Arabidopsis thaliana: one gene and its partners. The protein of the gene in region 3 interacts with the protein of the main gene of each other region in a pairwise test. Each region holds a gene or a part of one and is shown on either strand. Other genes may lie near its edges. The genes, in order: YAB3, AT5G50010, LHW and AT2G41130.

Evidence for each region.
Region 1: the proteins of LHW (region 3) and YAB3 interact in a two-hybrid assay, tested with the Arabidopsis thaliana proteins (one large-scale study listed by BioGRID).
Region 2: the proteins of LHW (region 3) and AT5G50010 interact in a two-hybrid assay, tested with the Arabidopsis thaliana proteins (one large-scale study listed by BioGRID).
Region 4: the proteins of LHW (region 3) and AT2G41130 interact in a two-hybrid assay, tested with the Arabidopsis thaliana proteins (one large-scale study listed by BioGRID).

Annotation. Positions count from the first base shown.
Region 1 is NC_003075.7:72,024-77,554, reverse strand, and holds YAB3 (Plant-specific transcription factor YABBY family protein), read left to right. Parts: upstream 1-1,978; 5' UTR 1,979-2,465; coding exon 2,466-2,579; exon of another isoform or gene 2,580-2,666; coding exon of another isoform or gene 2,667-2,687; coding exon 2,688-2,858; intron 2,859-3,127; coding exon 3,128-3,287; intron 3,288-3,847; coding exon 3,848-3,896; intron 3,897-4,031; coding exon 4,032-4,107; intron 4,108-4,487; coding exon 4,488-4,565; intron 4,566-4,676; coding exon 4,677-4,751; 3' UTR 4,752-5,010; downstream 5,011-5,531. Other genes in the region: AT4G00170 (Plant VAMP (vesicle-associated membrane protein) family protein), read left to right, coding at 5,470-5,521. UniProt on the Arabidopsis thaliana protein: Involved in the abaxial cell fate determination during embryogenesis and organogenesis. Regulates the initiation of embryonic shoot apical meristem (SAM) development.
Region 2 is NC_003076.8:20,346,780-20,351,370, reverse strand, and holds AT5G50010 (transcription factor bHLH145), read right to left. Parts: upstream 2,757-4,591; 5' UTR 2,688-2,756; intron 2,539-2,687; 5' UTR 2,141-2,538; intron 2,030-2,140; 5' UTR 1,933-2,029; intron 1,835-1,932; 5' UTR 1,816-1,834; coding exon 880-1,815; 3' UTR 541-879; downstream 1-540. Other genes in the region: AT5G50020 (DHHC-type zinc finger family protein), read right to left, coding at 130-161.
Region 3 is NC_003071.7:11,648,500-11,654,671, reverse strand, and holds LHW (transcription factor-like protein), read right to left. Parts: upstream 4,314-6,172; 5' UTR 3,943-4,313; intron 3,856-3,942; 5' UTR 3,778-3,855; coding exon 3,683-3,777; intron 3,225-3,682; coding exon 2,945-3,224; intron 2,834-2,944; coding exon 2,774-2,833; intron 2,696-2,773; coding exon 1,670-2,695; intron 1,578-1,669; coding exon 1,476-1,577; intron 1,403-1,475; coding exon 1,289-1,402; intron 1,209-1,288; coding exon 1,083-1,208; intron 982-1,082; coding exon 832-981; 3' UTR 529-831; downstream 1-528. Other genes in the region: AT2G27229 (Pentatricopeptide repeat (PPR) superfamily protein), read right to left, coding at 5,115-5,489. UniProt on the Arabidopsis thaliana protein: Transcription activator that regulates root development; promotes the production of stele cells in roots. Coordinately controls the number of all vascular cell types by regulating the size of the pool of cells from which they arise.
Region 4 is NC_003071.7:17,141,162-17,145,833, reverse strand, and holds AT2G41130 (basic helix-loop-helix (bHLH) DNA-binding superfamily protein), read right to left. Parts: upstream 2,678-4,672; 5' UTR 2,475-2,677; coding exon 2,181-2,474; intron 1,616-2,180; coding exon 1,148-1,615; 3' UTR 551-1,147; downstream 1-550. Other genes in the region: AT2G41120 (DUF309 domain protein), read left to right, coding at 3,415-3,804, 3,891-4,038, 4,133-4,380; CAM2 (calmodulin 2), read right to left, coding at 4,642-4,672.

The DNA of each region.
Region 1 (5,531 bases), on a different chromosome or scaffold from region 3:
AATTAGTTTTACGTTGGAAGCCCACAGTCTGATATGGTATCAGACCCCGATCCGCACATACTCAACCCGATCCACATCGGTCCGGCCCAATACTTGGCCCGCCGATCCATGCCCAAACATATCGAGATCAATGGCTAGAAGAACCATCATCTCGAGGGGGCGTATTAGGGATAATATCCCACATCGGAAGTTGAATAAGATCTTAAGTGGTATATATAAGATATGGGCCTCTTCACCTATTGCCAATTGGTTTTAGGTTGGAAACCCACACTCTAATATGGTATCAGAGCCTGATCCGCACATACTCAACCCGATCCACATCGGTCCGGCCCAATACTTGGCCCGCCGATCCATGCCCAAACATATCGAGATCAATGGCTAGAAGAACCATCATCTCGAGGGGGCGTATTAGGGACAATGTCCCACATCGAAAGTTGAGTAGGATCTTAAGTGATATATATAAGATATGAGCCTTTCCATCTATTGCCAATTGGTTTTATGTTGGAAGCCCACACTCTAATAAACTCAATACAAATACTAAAGTTGCAAACAACTATACTATATTTGCTTGAAGTTCTATTGTGATAGGATTTTGACTTACAAAAATCATATTCTATGTCTACACTATATATTGTGAAACCGGATAGCCATAATATTTACAAAAACTTAAACTAATTTCAGATATAAATAAATTTAAATTTCACTATGACCTAGTAATTATCACGAACAATTGGGAAGTTACCACAAAATGGTGGTCCTGTATTATGGAATTTAGCGAAACCACACACTTGCGGGTAAAAATAATGATGACAAAATGATATACATTGGAATGTAGAGAAAGTATATACAAATACTAATAAATAGAAAAGGGCATGGAATTGACGAGGATCGAGGGAAAGTGTGGTGTGGCAGAAATGTTATTAAGTGTGAAAACAACTGATGAATGAGCCTTTGCTTAATCACTTCCATGCACAAGTCCCTTTCCTCTTCCTCTCTCTCCCACTTCATCGAACTTTGCGTCCTTTAAAGAAAAGAAAAAACAAAACATTTTTCATCCAATTGAATTCAAACCGTAACCAGATTAGATTTAACTTCGTTTATTTTACATTATCTTCTTCTTCTTATTTTGCGGAGAAGACTTGTACAATGACCTCAATACGCTGAAGAGTTGGATTCACTGCGAGTGTATATGTGCATATAGAAACAAAATATCTAGCTATATGACCACTTTTAACTCTAAATATGGGTGTAATATGCCAAGGACTTTCTGGAGATCCACCACAACACACATTCAAGTTCAAGTTCTGCTGCTTTTAGGTCTATGAAAACAACACCAACCTTATTTTCATATTGTTCTCTCTTTATCTCATGCATAAGTATATTTTCATATTGTTCCCTCTTTATTTTCATGCTTTTAGTTGATATTTTTTTTGTTATTGTATTATCATTAGTGCGACGACACAAAGTCACAAACCATGTAACAAAATGCTTAACCAAAATAGAAAACCTTAACAATTCCAATATATTTTCTGTTATTGCATTATCAATTATCATCAAATTTTTTTCCACTGTTGCATTATCATCATTGCGACGACACAAGGTCACAAACCATGTAACAAAATGCATAACCAAAATAGAAAACCTTAACAATTCCAACTTTAACATGTGAATTAATATTATCTTAATTTTTGGATGTTCGACATTCAAATAAACTCCTAATTAAACCCTATAGATATGGTTAATCTTCTATACATGTGTCACGTACGACACTTATTAGCCAAATTGAAGTTTTGTTTTTTCCGCAAATATATAAGCGGTTTAAATAGTTGGTAAAAAAAAAAAAAAGTTAGCATGTTTGTCGTATGTACATGTTTGATGCTGCACAAATCTTGTCGTTATAAAACTTTGAAATCTTTATATCTATTATTCCTCACCGATCGGCTACTAATTCAATGGTACTTGATAATGATAATTAGTCCCAAAGTAGAGTTTTTATCTGATTATATAGAAACAAAGACTAGTTCCGGTTTGATATATAGAAGAAAGAAAAAGGATGGATAGGAATAATAAAGAAGATAAACCGGTTCAAAAGGTAGTAAATGAGAATGCAGGTATGCAGCTTATCTCTACAATGGCCTCTTCATCACATGTCGCCAATTTGTTTAGGTACAGTGTCTCTTCATATTTACATAAATAGATATCTCTCTCTCTCTCTCTCTCTAAACCACATCTTCCTCTCCACCGTTCTTTCTCTTCCTTCTCTCTCTGGACTTCAACTTCTGGAGAAGTACAAGACATTTATAAAGTACTGCTCATCACCCAACACTAAACACAATTGTCAAAAGGGTGTGGTGGAAGGAGAATCTACTTCTATCTGAACATCGATCAGTCATATCTTTTCAATCAAATCAAAGCCCTCCTCTCTCTCTTACTCCTTTTTTGTTTTAAATCAAGAAAAAGACTCCATGTCGAGCATGTCCATGTCGTCCTCCTCAGCTCCAGCTTTTCCACCGGACCACTTCTCATCTACGGACCAGCTCTGTTACGTCCATTGCAGCTTCTGCGACACTGTCCTTGCTGTAAATTTTGGATTATTCTTATATCTCATCTCAATATTTCAAATTTATAACTCTAGCTAGGGTTTCACATGAATTACTAGTTAATTAATGTGTGATATTAATTGGCAGGTGAGTGTTCCTCCGAGTAGTTTGTTCAAGACGGTGACGGTCAGATGCGGCCACTGTTCGAACCTTTTGTCGGTGACCGTGAGCATGAGAGCTCTTCTTCTTCCATCCGTTTCCAACCTTGGCCATTCCTTTTTACCTCCCCCTCCTCCTCCTCCTCCTCCAAATCTTTTGGTACATCGGTTTCATTCATCGAAACAAATTAGGGTTCTTTCATAAAAAAAACAGAGAGTAATAATTAGGGCTTTTCTTCTCGAGAAACGCAAAATTGTGAAACTCAATCCAAAAATGTTTAATTTTGTTAGCATCCCGGGATAGATCTAAGTAGTTTGGCAATGGCTAGTTAACTAGGGTTTCTTTCGAAAACATCATATCAAAGTAGTTTGGTTTGATTAGTGTTTTAAGTTTTTTTTGCCAATTAGTTTGCTGATTTCATTTATTAGGAGGAAATGCGAAGCGGAGGGCAGAATATAAACATGAACATGATGATGAGCCATCACGCTTCAGCTCACCACCCGAACGAGCATTTGGTTATGGCGACTCGCAACGGAAGATCAGTGGATCATCTACAAGAGATGCCTCGGCCACCACCAGCCAATAGACGTAACCTTCCATCTTCTACTCTTTATTTCAACATCTTCATATATATATATATAAGAAAACAAAAACCCTAATTCACAAAACCTTATCCATTCATTTCTTCAACCTTTTATATATACACTCCAAAGAATCTCGTTTGTTTATAATGAATTTATAAGTTTTGATTTCATTTTTGTTCCCTCGGTATGTGACTTCTCGCATGCACTTTTTTTTTGGTCAGAAAACAATTTCGACAACAAAAGGAAAATTAATAAGTGATGTGTTTATCCCCCGGAAATCTAGCTAAACCTATAGATGCCAACTGATATAGTTTTGGGGGTAGATCGTAAGAAAGATAATGATGAAGTGATGATGATAACGAGCAAAGTGAGAGGGAGAGGGAGAGAGAGAAAGGAGGAAGAGTCGAAGAGTGATTGTTTTTTTTTTTTTAATTGTTTTTTTTTGGTGAATTTTTAGATTTTTTGGGGAGGCACAATAAAAACCAATAATGTTTTTTTTAACAAAAGGGTTTGATTTGGAATTAAAATTGAATATGTTCTGTTTGTTTGTTTGTGGAAAAGCAGCCCCAGAGAAGCGACAAAGAGTACCATCTGCATACAACCGATTCATCAAGTAATAAGTTTATTCCTTTGCTTAAAATGGCATAATTAAATTTCCCTAATTAACCATTTTACTCATATAATTAAGGGTCGATAGATGTGACAGATTTGATTTCATTATATGATATAAAAATAAAAATGTTGACAGAGAGGAGATCCAACGTATAAAGGCAGGCAACCCTGATATCAGCCACAGAGAAGCCTTCAGTGCTGCTGCCAAAAACGTACCATTTCTTTTTTTAATATATAAAACTAATTTTCTATATTGCATTATATCCATAATCATACAATCTCATTTTAGTCTTTATGAATTGAACCTAGCTAGATTATTGTGGAGCTACATTGATACTCACATTGCTTTAAATTAAAAACATAAAACAAAATAGTTACCGTAATAATCCATAATTCATAAGCTTTATCCAGCATACATTAGCTAGGACTAGCCTTAGGATCTACGATCTAGGGTTTCAGTAAAGTTCCCTAGCAGATATTTTAGTCTGGCTTTGTATTCGTATATTTTTGACCAAGTTTTTATGTTATGTATAAGATAAATACACATTAATGTTAAAAGAGCTAAGTATATGATGTAATATGTATGAAACAGTGGGCTCATTTCCCTCACATACACTTTGGACTCATGGCTGACCATCCTCCCACGAAGAAGGCTAACGTGCGCCAACAGGTTACTTACTACTACTACACTATATTTATTTATTCAAATGTATATAATCAGGAGCATGCATGCATTGATCATCAAAACATAATCGAGATATTTTATTTTGGTGTAATGAAGGAAGGAGAGGATGGGATGATGGGAAGAGAAGGGTTTTACGGTTCAGCTGCCAACGTTGGGGTGGCCCATAACTAGCTACGAAGACTTTCCCAATCTTTTGTAATCTTCAAAATGTGGTTACTTTCAGCTCAAACTTAACTTTCTTATTACTATTTTATGATATTTGATAATCGATCAGGAGACCTTTTTTTTTTTTCTTAAAGAAATTTTCGGAACTACTAGAATTTTCTCTTGGAATTGAAAATATATTGTTTTCTCAGTTGCCGTGTTATATATTTAATATCAAAAGCATGCAGTAGCTAAGCTAGCTAGGCTTTACCATACGTTAATGATACTGTCTTTTTCTCTTTACAATTCCATATTCGAATTTGATTTGTATATAACATATTGGGAAGAATCATCAATATGTATTCAGCTCAAAAGAATTCAACAAAAAAAAATGCCTATTATCAATAAAAATTCACTGGGCTTTAGAAGGCCCACAATAGTATAATGGATCCTTTTTGTTGGGCTTATTTCAGTCAGGGAACAATAGCCTTGATTTTGTTGGGCTAACCGCTAACGCATTAAAAAAATCACGGTCAATCGGTGATCGTCAAATCTAGTTACGTGGCATTTAATATTTAAAACTACAAAATTTACCAGTCTTGGCTCAAAAAAATATTTATTCACTTTTCTTCTTCTCTGACCAAAATCAAAATTTGTTCGATTCTCATTCTTCTTCTCACAGTCGTAAACCCTAAAAAAAAAACAGAGAAATCAAATTTCAATCTCGAAGGATCTACAAAGAAGCATGACGACCGGAGATCTCGTTAATATCCATCCTACTGAGCTTAAATTCCCCTGTAAGTTTTT
Region 2 (4,591 bases), on a different chromosome or scaffold from region 3:
TCTCTTCTCTCTCTCACAAAAGGCGTTTCGTTTCTGGATTGTGTCTCCCGAGACGAACATTACAGTTTTGTTCCTTCATTTTTTTATTACGCATATAAAATTATTTTTGTAATGTTTTAAAAACCGGACCGGTCCGGTCCTGCAGACCAAGAATCGTTCATGTGGCTGAAATTGGGATGAACCGGTATCTGGTCCGGTTTCTAAAACATTTAGCTGCAAGATTTATTCTGAATGGCTAGAGACATGTATTCAAAACTTATAAACTGGATGGGACTACAGTATATCACATGTCACTAGTTCTATGCACAAAAGTCAGGAAATGACAAGTGATAAGAGTCTTAATCATGAAACAATAGGCAAAAATTGCTACCATATTGACAAAAGACTGCCAAATATCCCACCAAATCACATGTCTGTTTGGCACGAAAACAAACATCTTTAATCATTTGTAAAAAAGTTAAATTAATTGTGTGTTTACCATTATAATTGGCCTATCATTGAAAATGGTTATTCAACTTTCCCATTTATGATTCTCTCGGCCACACGACTCACAGATGAACAATAACAACCACACCGACAAAATCTTATAGAAAAAGAAGAAGCAACTACATGATATAACAAACAGCTAAACGACTGAAATTAAAATTTCGCAATCCATCTTAATCATCAACTAATATGAAATATTCAATTTGCATTTTAATATCAATTCCTTCTCTTGCAACTCCGAAACATTATTTGGTTTATCTTCCAACTAGCAACAACCTGATCCCTTTGTAGCTTGACAAGAGTACCACGGTCCAATATGTCTACTACTTTGTTTAGAAACCAAGTCCACTTGCCAATGCTAATATGTCTTAGGTATCCTACAAACAAAGAACCTCATGCTTCTCGATTTTTCGCTTCCATCTTCAATGATTTAAGGTAATCAATGGCTCTATCGATGACTAAGATCGGGTCCACCAGTTCCTCCCCGGGGACTACACTGCGCAAGAGGCTTACAGTCTCAAATATCTTCTCTTCTCCTATCTTGTTACTAGACAGCTTAGAACGTTTCAGAAAACTAATCCTTGTGTTGTCACAACTACCACAGCTCGATTCAGCGTCCCGCATACTCTCATTCGAGGTTTCGAGTATCTTTCTCTTTTTAGCATTTAATGGTTGTCCATAGCTTCCAAGAAATGTTTTTTGGTCCTCACGGCCTGATACTACAATGCTTGGGGAATGGTCTGCGCTTGTAACCTCATCTTCTTCAGAGCAATAACCACTCTCATCTTCAGAGTAAAGCAATGCATTTAGTTCTTCCGAATCCTCCTTCAAATCCGGTTCGCTATTTCCTTGCATTCCGTGACAAACAAACAAATCTTTGTTGCTTCTTTGGAGCTCTTCCTTCATATCAGGACAGGCATGCTGTTTTAGGGTCTCAAAAGATTTCCGTATATCGGAAGCGAGTAGCAAAGTCGTCTGATCTCCAGACTGATCAAACACTAGGAACCTCTTCTGACTACATTGTTCCTCAGCTTTAGATATAACACCGTCTACTTGAAGAGGTACTTGCTTCATACATTGGTTTTGAGGAGGCAAGAACTGCTGCTGTAGGTGGGATGACCCATGAACCCATCCACAATACCCATCAAAATAGGATTGAGAGACTTGGGTAGAAACTTGATAAGATCCACGAGTAGAAAACATGTCGGTGGTGTCGCCGCAGGTTTTAGATACTAAATTCAAGTCTTGCTTCCCGAGATGAGACAGAGCTAGGGAAGACAAGGAACACAAGCGCTGAGTAGGAAACCCAAACCCACGATCTTGTCCCATCCAACACTAAACAAATCAACTATCCAAAACAGAGGACATCATCATCTCAAACAAATCAGCTACTTATAATCAAGAATGGGAGGTCAAAAGATTATGTGTGCAAAGACTGGAACTTACCAACTAAATGGATAGAAGAAACTAGGCTTGAAACAAGAACGATAAGTATCGAGCTACTCTACGTGACGGGCTTCAACAATTGACGGAAATATTCAGCCTGCAAAATACACAACATCAAAGCTAAAACGAAATCAATAAAAAAAAGTTCTGGTGGTTTAAAAATCTAAATATATTGCAATAACATAAACTCATCAAACAAGAAAATAACCTGGCAATCTTGGAGAGGTTGAAAGCATGCAATGACTCTAACTACAATGTTTCCTGTGATACCGTGTTCGTGTTTGAGTGTACGAAATCTTGTCTGTCCCGCTGATTGACAAACCATAACTACTTTCTCCCCAACTGATTCCTTCTCCCAAAACAGAGTATCCAAACGAAGTCTTAAATAATTTGGCGGACAAAGTAAGGGAATGTGAAGAAAAAAGACGACCCCATTACATAAAAAAGCTATGTCTGAAGTAAGATCGCAGTTTACAGAATCACACGACAGAAGACTACTACTGTACGAAAAACATAAGCAGAAAGACACAACCACCACCGCATGCTGTTGCTTTGTTGCTCTTTCTTGTTTTATCTCTGGAGTCAATCTCACTACTTCAAATGAATCTGCAAAATAAACGAGAGCAATAGATTTAGTGCTAGCAAGAAACAGAACACTTTAAAACAAATAACTTAACCTAGAAAAATATGCACAATGCATATTATTACAGAGTTTATAAGTTCTATCTCGAAAACTGAAGATAATAGAAACTCACAAAAGTGGAATGCAAGAGAAGCAAATAGAAGTTCTAAGGAGGAAGCAGAGAGATATTAGTTTCAGTGATGGCGAAGAGAAGTTAGCGAGGAAGAAGATATATACAAGAGAAAAAGACGAAAGTGACCTTCATCATAACAGAGATGCGTGCGTGCGTTAAAGTTTAGGTATCGTGATGCCACAGTGTTTACCAAATCCGATAACAAATGTTTTTGGGAAAATTAGCTGAATTTGGTGGGTTCAAAATCTAAATAGTTGTTTATTTTTCTCGATGTAATTACTAATTAGTAAGATATACTCATAATCCATATTGTTGTTAACATGCTTTTTCGGCTTATTTATATTTGGCTAAAAGATATACATTTGCCCATTTGGTGGAAAAATAAATTATGCCAAATAGCTTGTTTTGGTTGGAAAGAAGAATCAGTCGACTTTCACTTTTCATCACATGTAAACAAATTCAGCTAACGGAATCTAGTATCTTTCAATTCCACCGAAACACAAATATCATTCACATAATATAAAAATGATCATCAATGAAGCTATACAAAAAAAAAAATCCATTTGAAGCCAAAGTATACTTACTTCATGCAATCATGTTTTATAAGACGCTCGCTTATGTATTTTGTTGGTTTCGTACTTTCGTTCATCGTCAGTAAGAAAAGTAGTGAAAGTATCCAATGTGAAGAAGAAGAAGGTCCAATCATTTCTCAAATACTCTCGTTTGCAATGGCTTGACCGTTCAAACCCCAAATCATTTCTACTTTTACTTTTTACCTTTTTGCACCCTCCATTTCCATCTTCTTTGGGTTTCACATTATGTTTTGTCTTCCCATTCTGGTTGGTCTATTTTCATATGGATCTCCAAAACACTTTCGTGGAAAATGTATCTATTGCACTTATAGTGAAAAAACGATGAAATATGTGACGATAAATATAACAAGAAGAAAGGAAAATCCTACAAGACAATTGATTGCTCTTCATCTTTTCTTTATTATAATCTCTTCCAAAATATGTATATTTTTCTATATATACTAAAGTGTTAAGAAAAAAAAACAAGCTTCATTATCATTATAAGACTTCCGTTTTCACTATAGAAGTAGGAACGGTACAAGTCATACTCACTGACTTATAAAAATACAAACAAATAATGATAACATAAGAACATTATTATTGAGATCATAATTTATGACCAATCCACAATAATTTATATTATGAAAATATAAATTCAATATTAGATACTGTAAGATAAGTTTCGAAGGACAAAAAAGGAGATAATTTCTATACAGAAACCCAAATGAACAACCTGCATCACCAAAAATTACCAAGTTAGCCAAAAAAAGTTTTTTTAGCTAGTTAGCCAATGACTTAATCGTATATTATCAATCATAAAACTTGATACCAAAATTATCTAAACCTAATTAATCCCCCAGAAGAAACAGACACGTTCTCTCTTGTCAGAAAATGGCACTGACTAGTAATAATTATACCCAAGATATTTTTCATTGACAATCAAAGACATCTGAAACTATATTCAATAGTGATAGATGTAGAAGACCCATGATTTAGTAACCTGAACCAAATCTTTGATGTACAGATAAGAGAGATCTGGTTGCTCACAATCATACAAGCAGAGTAACATTTAATATTACCACGCCAAATATTTAAGTTATACAAAAACCATTAGGATAATATTACTAATCCGTATAGTATATAAATTAGGATTAATTAAAAGTGGATACACTTAATCCTTACTGGCTTTAATGGTGTCAGGGGCCCAAAACAAACCCTCCACCGTTTCTCTCTTTCTGTGTGTCTCTAAAGCAATCATCATATCCTAGGTCCACCATTTTTATACACATAAAATAACACTCTTCTCATTTTGCGTGGTTAAAAAAAATACAC
Region 3 (6,172 bases):
TAATGTGCTGTCGATTATCCCATCATAATCTATAGAGTGGAGAGATGGCTAAAGCAAGACACAAAGATGTTCATGCACCTTTTGCAGCAAAGTTTAGGTACCTCAAAAGTGTAAATAAAGCATTTTTGAGACAACAAACAAAAACGCAGTTTTGAGAATTTGATGTTGGACTAAGTTTGATCCACTAATTAGTAGTATGAAGAAAATGTAAATATTAGGAATGGATTAAGACATCCATTAGAGATTATGAATTCACATGATAGCACATTATAAGGCTGTTAACAAAAGTATTATAACTAACTATTATTAGCTTTTCTTCTATAGGCCTCACGTTTCTTAATAAAGAGTGTGTTTTATTGAAAGTAGAGCTTCTTGTGTTTTTTTTTTTAATAATAAGCTAATTATATACATAGAGTTACTAATCAAAGTAACATAAAGGTACTTGTAACATGTGAAGCTTTGTTGTGTACTGTTAAAGCTGTTGATGGACCGGTTCTTTTTACCGGTCTTGAAATCCGTGAATTGTTTGAACTCTTACTGGTCGAGAATAATTTTAAACAATTTAACTAAATTTTTTACAACTCCAAAACTGAATTAAAATTAAAAAATTCCACACAAATGAAAATTCGCAACTAATGTACAAAACATAAAGTTGAGAAAAAAAAACACACTTAAAAATCATCATCTCTGGTTTAGACTGACTTTTTAGTTAGTCATAGCGAGCCTAAAATCCTTGAGAGCGGTCCGCTCGTAACCTCTATATGAATCAAGCTTTTAACCAGCCCGGTTTATTAAACCGGAGCAATCCGGTACGGTCAATAATTTGTGTCATTACATTGAACAGCCACCAGTAACCGGTAAAGGCATTGTAGCTTTGATACCATCCAAAATAGTCTTAGAGTTTCCTCCACATTTCATTGTCTGCTCCAAAATATTCACTAGTTGCATGAATATTTCCATCCTCGTCACGTCGCGACTCGCCTACAATCCAATATCGACCCGGTTTCAGTTTAAATAAGATACATTCTAACACAATCTCATCTTTCCAAGTTAAACAACCTTGTGTAACTTATATAATATACCTCAACAGTGAAGCGAGCCCAAATCTTGTCTACTCGAGTTTCGATGACTCCCTTCAAGATCGTTAACCCTAAGCTTCTGATCCAATCTGCGATTTCTAGAAAGAATCCTCGTTGCTCGCATAACATCTGTTACAAAACCAGAAAACGTTCGATCAAAACCGAGATCTTGAGTGTTTTTTATTAAGAACCTTAGGCAGAAATGTTACCTCGACTTGGAAAATGCGAGGCGGGTTTATATCTTCTACGACAATTGGACACACCATAGACTTTGACCCTACTTCGAAAGCCCATGTTGCTCCTCCACCGTCCTCTTTCATAATCTTATAACAATACAACAAACGTTAGATCAAGAATCCATGAGAGACACCAAAATATTATTGTTTTATGTTATACCTTGGATTCCCCGGTTTGCTTCAGCTTATCAGAATGCTTGGAGACATTTTGCAAGAAGAGCATGTGCTTGATTGTACGTTCAAGGAGTGCATCAATGCTACACTGTTAAATAAAAACCACATGTACTCTTTGTTAGTAATAACCTTTCTTAGGGATTGTTTAATTTGCCAAGAACAGATAAGTTTTTCACTTACTTTTGCACCGTTTGGTATTATTTCACGCAGCTCTTTGACACGATCTTGGATCATTTGGCGATCTTTAGGCCTTGGTCTTGGGTTCTCTCCTGGTTTAAGCCTTTTCCGGTTATTAGCCGGTTTTGCAGTTTCATTCTTGTTCACCATCCTTGGACTGCCCTCACGCTTCAAGCTGTGCGCTTGTTCAACCCAAGAACTTATCTGAGACCCGTAGACCGATGATGGCCCCAATGGTTGCCCATGTTTCTTCTCAAATAACTGGCTACCTTGAGGGCTACTGTGAGACGGCGTGGTAACCGAAGAATTACTAACTTTAGTCAAGGTGGTTTTGCAGGACTCGGAAGTTTCGTCTGAGATCTGCTTTGTGGAGGAGCAAGCACCCGAGACCACGGCATCTAACAGATGATCTGTTCCTGAAAGTTCATACCCCGAAGAACCGAACTCAGGGTCCATTTCTTGAATGATCCGAAAGTCGGATAACTCTCTAGTGAGTACTTCTGTTCTCATCTGTGAAACTCCCCAACTGTTGTCACAACCTTTGTTCTTATCATCCAAACCCAACATATCAAACAAGTCGTCGCTTCCAAGCGAGCGTTTCGAACTGATGTCTTCACATGGGATTTGTTGCTGCTCTGCTGCATCCACATTAGACATACAAGAGAAGTTTTGATTCAGCCACGCATCTGGATTTGAAGGTACTGCAACTTCTCCAGCTGTTAGAAATCCTGTTGTGCTTTGCCATCCTCCTTCATGTTCATCCACAAGATTACAGGGAGATTCTTCAACCATTTGATGATCTGATGATCCAGTGGAGTTGAAATGTTGTTTGCTAGTTTCAGCTACGAAAGCCGAAGATTGGAGGATCTTATGTCCTTGAGAAGGTATTATCCGAGACACTGGCACTCCAATAAAATCAGCAGCAGGTTCATATGTTCTGTAGTTTTCAGATAAGAGAGCCCCCGGAACACATCCGAGCTGCAGGATAAGACCCTTCACGTCATTCACAAACCCCAAGTTCTCCATAATCTGAACACACAAAAAACAATTCACAGTTAAATCAAGAACAAGAATCTCACTTCACATAACAATGTAACTTGAACTTACAGGCAGAGAGGAACCGAGCTGAACAACACCGTGAGGAACAACCGGAAAAACTGCAACAGTCTGAAGAACAAACAAAATAAGCACACACAAACAGTTCTTATGAGCTTGAACATATATATACACTAAAGAAGCCTAACTTAGGATGTTCAAAACATGAAGAAAGTATCAAACCTGAATACCAGCAGAGAATTGGAGAAGCATCTCATTAATAACCTCGGGTGGATGAACATCGCGGTTAAAACTGTTAGCTAGAATCCATTGATGATGTCCAGTAAATGCAGCTCGGCCAACTAGACCTTCACCTACCAAAATGATTCGATTGTTCAACATCATTCGGTTTGTAAGCAACTGAACTTTCTCATTCCCTTGTGTATCAACACCAAGTCCACAAAGTCTTCTAGGATTCGAGCTCGATTCGGTTTCATTGTAACATTCCTCCCAAATCAACAAGCTGCACAAAAACAAGTAAAAAAAACACATCAAAAAAAAAAAATTAGAATACACATGACAAAAATATGCAACAATCGTTTAAGTTAGAATACCACAAAAAGACGATTACAAAAGATTTTGGGCTAAACAAAGACAAAACGAACAAAGACAAGAAATAAAAATTGAAATGACAAGAGAGTTAAAGAACTTGAACTCTTTAGACAATTCATAAACAAATAATAAGGATATAGTTATTGTCGACAAAACAACTACAAATCGAAAGATTCTTTAAGACAAACAAGATCAAACCAAACACAAAACTCCAAGAATTAAACAGAGATAAATAATTCTAGTCATCCTCGAGATCTGAGTTTTAAACCCTTATCAAAAAATTCTCAAACTTTAAACTAACAAACACTGAATATATTTGACTGAATAAAGTTTGACACTTTATTAGAATTAGGAGAATAAGAGTGGTACCTAGAATTTTGACAGCCAATTTTCCAGAAAACAGCATAAGACCATTGATTATTAACACACATAGACCTTAAAGCTTCTCTTAGTAAAACTCCCATAGCTTTTCTCTTTCTCTTCTCTCTTCTTTAAGCTCCAACAAGAACAAACTTTTTCACTTGCAACAGTGCAATTTCAAACTGCCCAGAAGAAAAAAATCGAAACTTTAGGTCTAAAAACAAAACTTTTTAACAAATCTACAACAATCAATAAAAACCCATTATTACATTCTTTAAGAGGAAAATGGATTTGAACAAAGACTAACTTCCACGGCAAGATCCTCTTCCAGCTTGTTTTGTCCTAAGTCCTCCACTTTGTTTTCTTTCAGGATCTAAACTAAAAGCGATCATACTCCGACATGCCATTACTTCCGGTAATAAGGAAGAGAAAAAAAAACTCAAAACCCCAGAAAAGAAAAATACAAGAAACTAGTTAATCTTCTTCACAAGATGCTCCAAGCTTCAAGCTTTAAGATTCCAGTAACACCAGCCATTGATAAAACTTGAAGAAAATTAGAAGAAGATGGAGAAGAAAGCAAATGGAGATTATTTGTCTTTGTTTTTTCTCTGCTTTAATGTTTCTTTTCTCTGCTTCTTGGTGAAAAAAAGATTGAAAAATGAGGAAAAAGTACCATCTTATTAAAAACAAAGAACACGATGAATTCGAGAAAGGGTATCAATGTTTAGTAGAAATTACAGGATTGTGCCACTGAGTGGGGTAGTCGAAGTCTTTTGTCTTTTTCCGATGGTGCTAGACGAATAATTTATTGTTTTTTTCGTGAGGTAATATCCTAAAAGTTTGTTTTTAGATAAAAACAAAAGAGATAAAGAAAAAAAGTGTACCCTCGGAGATAAATTAAAAGACGTTCCTAAATATAATTATTAAAAATATATATGTATATATATATATTAAAATATTTAATAACGGCATAAGTCTAGAAGTTAGAGGATTTGTAGGATTATGGATTGTCAATAAATAAAAGAGATTTTCATTTTCTGGTATTGCTTCCCGTACACACAAATAATAAATACACATAAGTTCAAGGTGTTTAATATTGAGCTTATATTTAAAATAGGCATTTTAAATAAAGTTATTTCAAAATAGGTATTTTCCACAGTTGAATACAACAGTGTCGATTTATTGCTTCAATCGGGACAATTTTGTCCCTGTCTTTTTTTCCTTCTCTTCTTCTTCATCGTCTTCTTTCTTCTTCTTCTTTATCGAACATAGTTGCAAAATCTGATTAAATCGATTTCTTCTTTGTTTTTCAAGCAAACTTAATTTTTCTTTTTAATTACACAATACTAAACCCTAAGATAATATATAGGGAACCCAATCGAAAAAATTTATAGATTTTATGGAACTTTAGTTCTGATTTTGTGGAATTTCGGTTCTGATTTTAGAGAATTTCAGTTCTGTCCACATGACTACGATAGGCTGTGTCCATGGCGGAAATAAAGAAGCTTTCTTTGTTGCGACTTAACCTTCGTAAGCAAAGTTGGAATCTTTTCCCACCCAGAGTCTTCCTATACCAAGAATAAATCGGTTCACAAATAACAATGAGTTGAAACCGGTTTTTGAATATCGTCTCACCTGTCTTTTTCAAATTACCAGTAATCACCACAAGTCCATTCTTGAAATGATGAAACCGGTTTAAATCCCTCACAATGATCTCTCTCTCAGTGATTTTCCATATAAAAACTTGGATTCTTGAAAATCCGAGTTGTTGTCTTTGCAGGAGTGGCGATTTAGAAGATGATGCATATATCGCCATTGTTTCAATTGAATATAGGGAACACACACGATTTATTGCTTCAATTGGTGATGCAAATATCGAATATAGGAAACAGACACGACTTATTGCTTCAATTGGGTAAAAGATAATGCAAATGAGAGGAGGATAAGGATGACTTTTCACAAGAGAAAAGTACCTCTTTCGAAAATCATGTAAGGAAATACCTTAAAATAAATATATAACCAAGACAAATGCCTATTTTCTAATAAACTCTTTAATATTTAGATTATTTTATTATTTATCATGTTAAATTAAATTCTGAAAAACTCATTAACACTTTAATTTAACATCAAGCAATTCGTAATTACTAATTTAAAGATTTAACTTAGTTATATACTGATATTTTAGTGGGTGCAAAAAGGTCCAAACCATATTATTTTTTAATAGATTATTAACTACTTTTACTATGTACTAAGTTTTTTTTTCCCCATAAAAACGATCTATAATTACTATGATATTTTTAACAGAAAAACTATGAACATTATACTGAATCACTAAAAGAACATCGTAATACTTTGACCACAATAAAATAAAATAAAGATATAATTTGAGCATTGGGAGGTTTTTAGAAGGCACCACACCGAATGATTTCAAGTAATCTTGACAGTTTTTTTAAATGTAACTGCCAGTATGTTACAAAAGGATAATGAAAGTTCTGCGGG
Region 4 (4,672 bases), 5.5 Mb from region 3:
GGTGAGCCATTTTCTATAAACAAAACGGATACCTATTGAAGAAACCAGAATAGAGATACATAGCAAACATAGTATCTCTACAATATTTCAAAACACTTTCATTATAAATATAACAGATATGTACAAACCTCACTAGATACGGATACACATCATTATACATTCTAACATATTCTTCTTATTCACACGAAACTTTAGAGCCAAAATTCGATTAGTAAAATAAACTAAAAGAAAGTAAATTAAAGTAAGTTTTCAGTATTTTTGGTTAATCCTCTCAAGTCTCATCACACTTTCATTGTACATGTAGCCGTACATAATATGAAATTTGGCGTCCTAAATATACAACGTATATAAAGTGTTACTTTTTCGAATATACGTTTAAGCATTTTTGTGTCATGCATAAATGCACGTCTTTTCCATATGATCAACAAAAACAGTAGACTAGACATTTCGCTAACACTTAATTAATCTCAACTAAAAGTAAAACAGTTCGTCATAATCACATGGATATATACGAATATATAAGAAAGAAAGAAAACCAGGCACTGCTTATATTCTTTGGTCTGAAAAATGTGGTCAAATGTACACATTTAGAAAGACATGAACAAAGAAAGAGATAGGAGAGTTTGGATTCATTTGGGGACAAAGGTGACATAAGGGTCGCTTTGAAACTCACAGCATACAAACATAGACCTTCTCTTCACTATATATACATATATATTCACATGTATAGTGTGTATATGTAAATCGAAGTACCCTAGTTTCTTTTGGACTTCACCAATCACATCTGTTACTTAGATTCTTCTACGTCGACAAATATTCCCACAATCTCAAAACCCTAGTCATCACACCAACAACCAAAAAGATATATATAAATAGAGGAAAATAACATGACAAATATTCTTTATATATAATATAGATCTTTTTCTTTTTCTTGAAAAAGAAAAAAAAAAGAAAAGAAAAAGAACACACCAAACCTACTTACAACATTTGCTTACACTCCCAAGACTTAGTAACTAAAACCATATAACATATATATTATTAAAGAGGAATAAAAAAGGTTTTGGTAATTATAACCAAGTTAATTATGATCATACCCTATATATATTAATCAATTATAGACTTTTTAGTGTGCTCAATTCTCATCATTTCACACCATTATGATGTGATCCAGCGCACGACGCCGCTTTGACCGTTCTCCTCCTCCACCACCAGAACTACGTTCCATCAACGACTTGCTTGACCGCTCAAGCAGCGACTTGAGAGCATTTTGCAAAAAATGCACAGACTCGACGCCGTGCATCTCTTTGTCAGCAGCTACGACAAGAACACTTCTTGTCCGACCACCAATGGTTACCATCTCAGCTCGGAGAGTCTTCATGTTAAGAGACTTGAGAATCTCCATAAGGTCCGGCAAGAGATCTGATCTATCTTCACAACATAGAGAGGCTTTGAAGATTATATGACCGTCGTTTGAATAGTCTCCAAAGTGTAGAACACTAATTTCGTCGGTCTCTGATGGTAATAATGTTTGGTCGGAGTCGGAGGTCTCTAGGGTTTGCTGTTTAAGTTCTCTGACTCGTTGAACTACTTTGGCGAGCAGTGTGGCTTTATCGGTCTGAAAATAGAAACATGAAATTACAATGAAAAGTTTGGATCAAGAAGTTGAAATTTGATGTTTGTATCAAATCAAATCAACTGAAAAAGCTTGAGAACTTTCCCAAAAAGTGATATACTATCCCAACGAGCTTCACAAAAAGGCCATGAAGCTTTTCGTTTTTCTCATCTGATCACTACTCGCCAGTTTTGAATATTCAAATCAAAATATATATCAATCTTTAGAATTATAAATGTAGAAAATTAGGGATCATCTTTGATAAATATGTGCTTGTTAATAAGTAAGAATAGTAAGACAAAAAAGACTCAATTGAAACCAAATGATTATAAAATGTTATCATGAAAAAGTACAGTATTCATGAGCTAACACCAAATCGAATGAAACATGAGAAAATTTTAAAGATGTAAACTCTGGGTTAGAGAAGATGCAAAACCCTAATTATATACCCATTTCAAAAATCTTTTCTTAAAATTTCAAAGAAATATATACGTACAGATGTATAAACATCATATGTACGAGGAGAGATACATACGCCAAATGAAAAAGTATCAAAAGTTTATATTACCTTAGAATTACAAGAGAGTACGTTACGAAGCTTGTTGAGATGAGAATTGATCCTCTCTCTCCTTCTTCTCTCAGCTTCTTTGTGGTTCCTCAAAGCAGCTAAAGCTCTGTCTTGAGCCATCGTTTCTCCGATGCCGGAGATCGCCAGTGGGTAATACGATGACGTCGACGACGAAGACCCACATAAGCTCTGCATAGTCGTCATGTAGTCGCCGGAGACGCAGTACCCTCCACCGCCGACTTCGTTTCCGGCAAGAAACGAGTACAACATCTGATCTGAGGTCTCTGGTTGCATTATCTTTTGTTTGCGCCGCCTTCTTTTGGTTTTTTGTTAATTAATGGGGTTTGTGGAGCTTTCGGTGGGTTCTGTCCTAAAAGATGGATTATATATACGTGAAATGAGAGGGTAGAGAGTGTAGATTATTTTTTTTATTTTTTTTATTTTAGATGTTAAATACTTGATTTTTGTATTTATATATATATTGGTGGGGAAAAAGTTGCTATAGAGTTTGAAATTTTTAGGAAGGGTCCTTAATTAGGTCATTGTCTTGCCACCATCATCATTCTAAATAGTTCTATATGATCCATCAATTGAACTGAAGATACATACGGACTTTTGGGACTATATAGTATATTACTGCATTTCCAAAATTCAAAAATTCAAAAACAAATCTCAAAAAATTGAACATTCTTTAAATCTTTACTTATGAATAATAATGATGTTTTACCACTACCATAATAATGATCCTTTAAGTTATTATGATAAGATACCATTTCTAAGGTATTAAAGATAAACAATAAAAGGCATATCCTGATATGATTTATGCTGCTTCTATCATTGTGTTTTGTCCGGATAAATCTCACACAGTGCAATGCGATAACATAAATTTGTTATTTAACAAAAATTAAATAATATACAGTATTTGTTTTAACTTAATGTCTGGAAAAACTTGAGTATTCAAAAGCCCTAATTTTTTTTTTTTGACAACATAAAAGCCCTAAATAATCAACAAATTTGATAATCATAAGAGAAAGCTACTGCAGAAAAATAATTTACGAATGAGACAACCATATGATATGAGGAAGGCTTCGCCATAAAATATGGGCCTAAATTATATAAAAAATAAGGACCCAAATAGTGGCCCAATTACAAAGTTTTGGTAAAACGGTGACCACAAAACTGGCGCAAGCCAGAACCATGCAGTAGAGACAGAGCTCGACCTTTGACTTTGATAATGGCAGTTTCTTCGAAACATTTCCAGGTTCCTTCATCTTTCACGCTTCCTCCATCTTCTTTCTTCAGCTCCTTAATCCCTTCTTCTCCAATCTCTGTTACTGCTTCAACGATTCGAGCCTCCACAAAATTTAGCTCCATACGCGTCCGTTTCAGTCGAAGATCAATCGTCAGATACAACGACCACGCCGGAGAAGACGAAGAGGATAGTGACGAGGATAAGGAAGAATATTGGAGCTTTGAGGAAGCAGTGACTCTCTTCAACAAGAGGGATTATTACAAAAGTCATGACGCGCTTGAAGCTCTTTGGATTCAAGCAGAGGAACCAACTCGTACCTTAATCCATGGAATTCTTCAATGTGCTGTTGGATTTCACCATCTATTCAACAACGTAAATCTACTCTCCTTTTAACTCCATCTATTGCTCGTTTTCGTTCACGTTTGAGGTAATTTTAGTGAGTGTTTTGGGATTTGAAGAACCATAAAGGAGCGATGATGGAGTTAGGAGAAGGAGTATGTAAGCTAAGGAAGATGAATTTCGAAGACGGACCGTTTCATGAATTCGAGCGAGATGTCTCCGCAGTTCTTGAATTCGTTTATCAAACTCAGCTTGAACTTGCTGCCTGTAAGTTTTGAATTTTGAATTTTTGATTGAGGAAACCATTTAGCAAATTGAACCTAATTGTGACACTCAAGAAATCTGAATTGATTGATGATAGGTTCAGAAGATATGTGTTTGACGATGGATCAATCAGACAGATCGTATCAACTCTTAGGTGGTTATGCAGCTGGAGAGAGTATTTACAGCTTAGAGACTGTGCTTGACTTCAACAATGGAATGTCTGAGACAACTTCTATACTCTTCTCTCCTTTACATTCATCGTCTGAGCCAACTCGGGTTAAGCTCCCTACCCTTACCGCAACCGATAAGCATCTTCTTGCTTCTACATACGACGACAGATTCTAAAGAGAATGATCAATACGAAGATAATAGAAGAAGATCTCATTACTGTTATATTTCAAGAATCAGGTTCTGAACCTGTCAATAACATGAACAATGAGTCATTTAGACAAAAGGTAAAAACACATAACATTCCTGTCTTTTTAACCAGCAAAAACCAGCCATGAATGAAATTTTAGAACAAAGCGAAGGAACATTCTTTATGAAATTACATAAGAAGGTAGTCAAAAAAAAAAAAGGAGAAAGCCGAAGAAGTTGTTTCAATCCTCACTTAGCCATCATAACCTTCACAAACTCT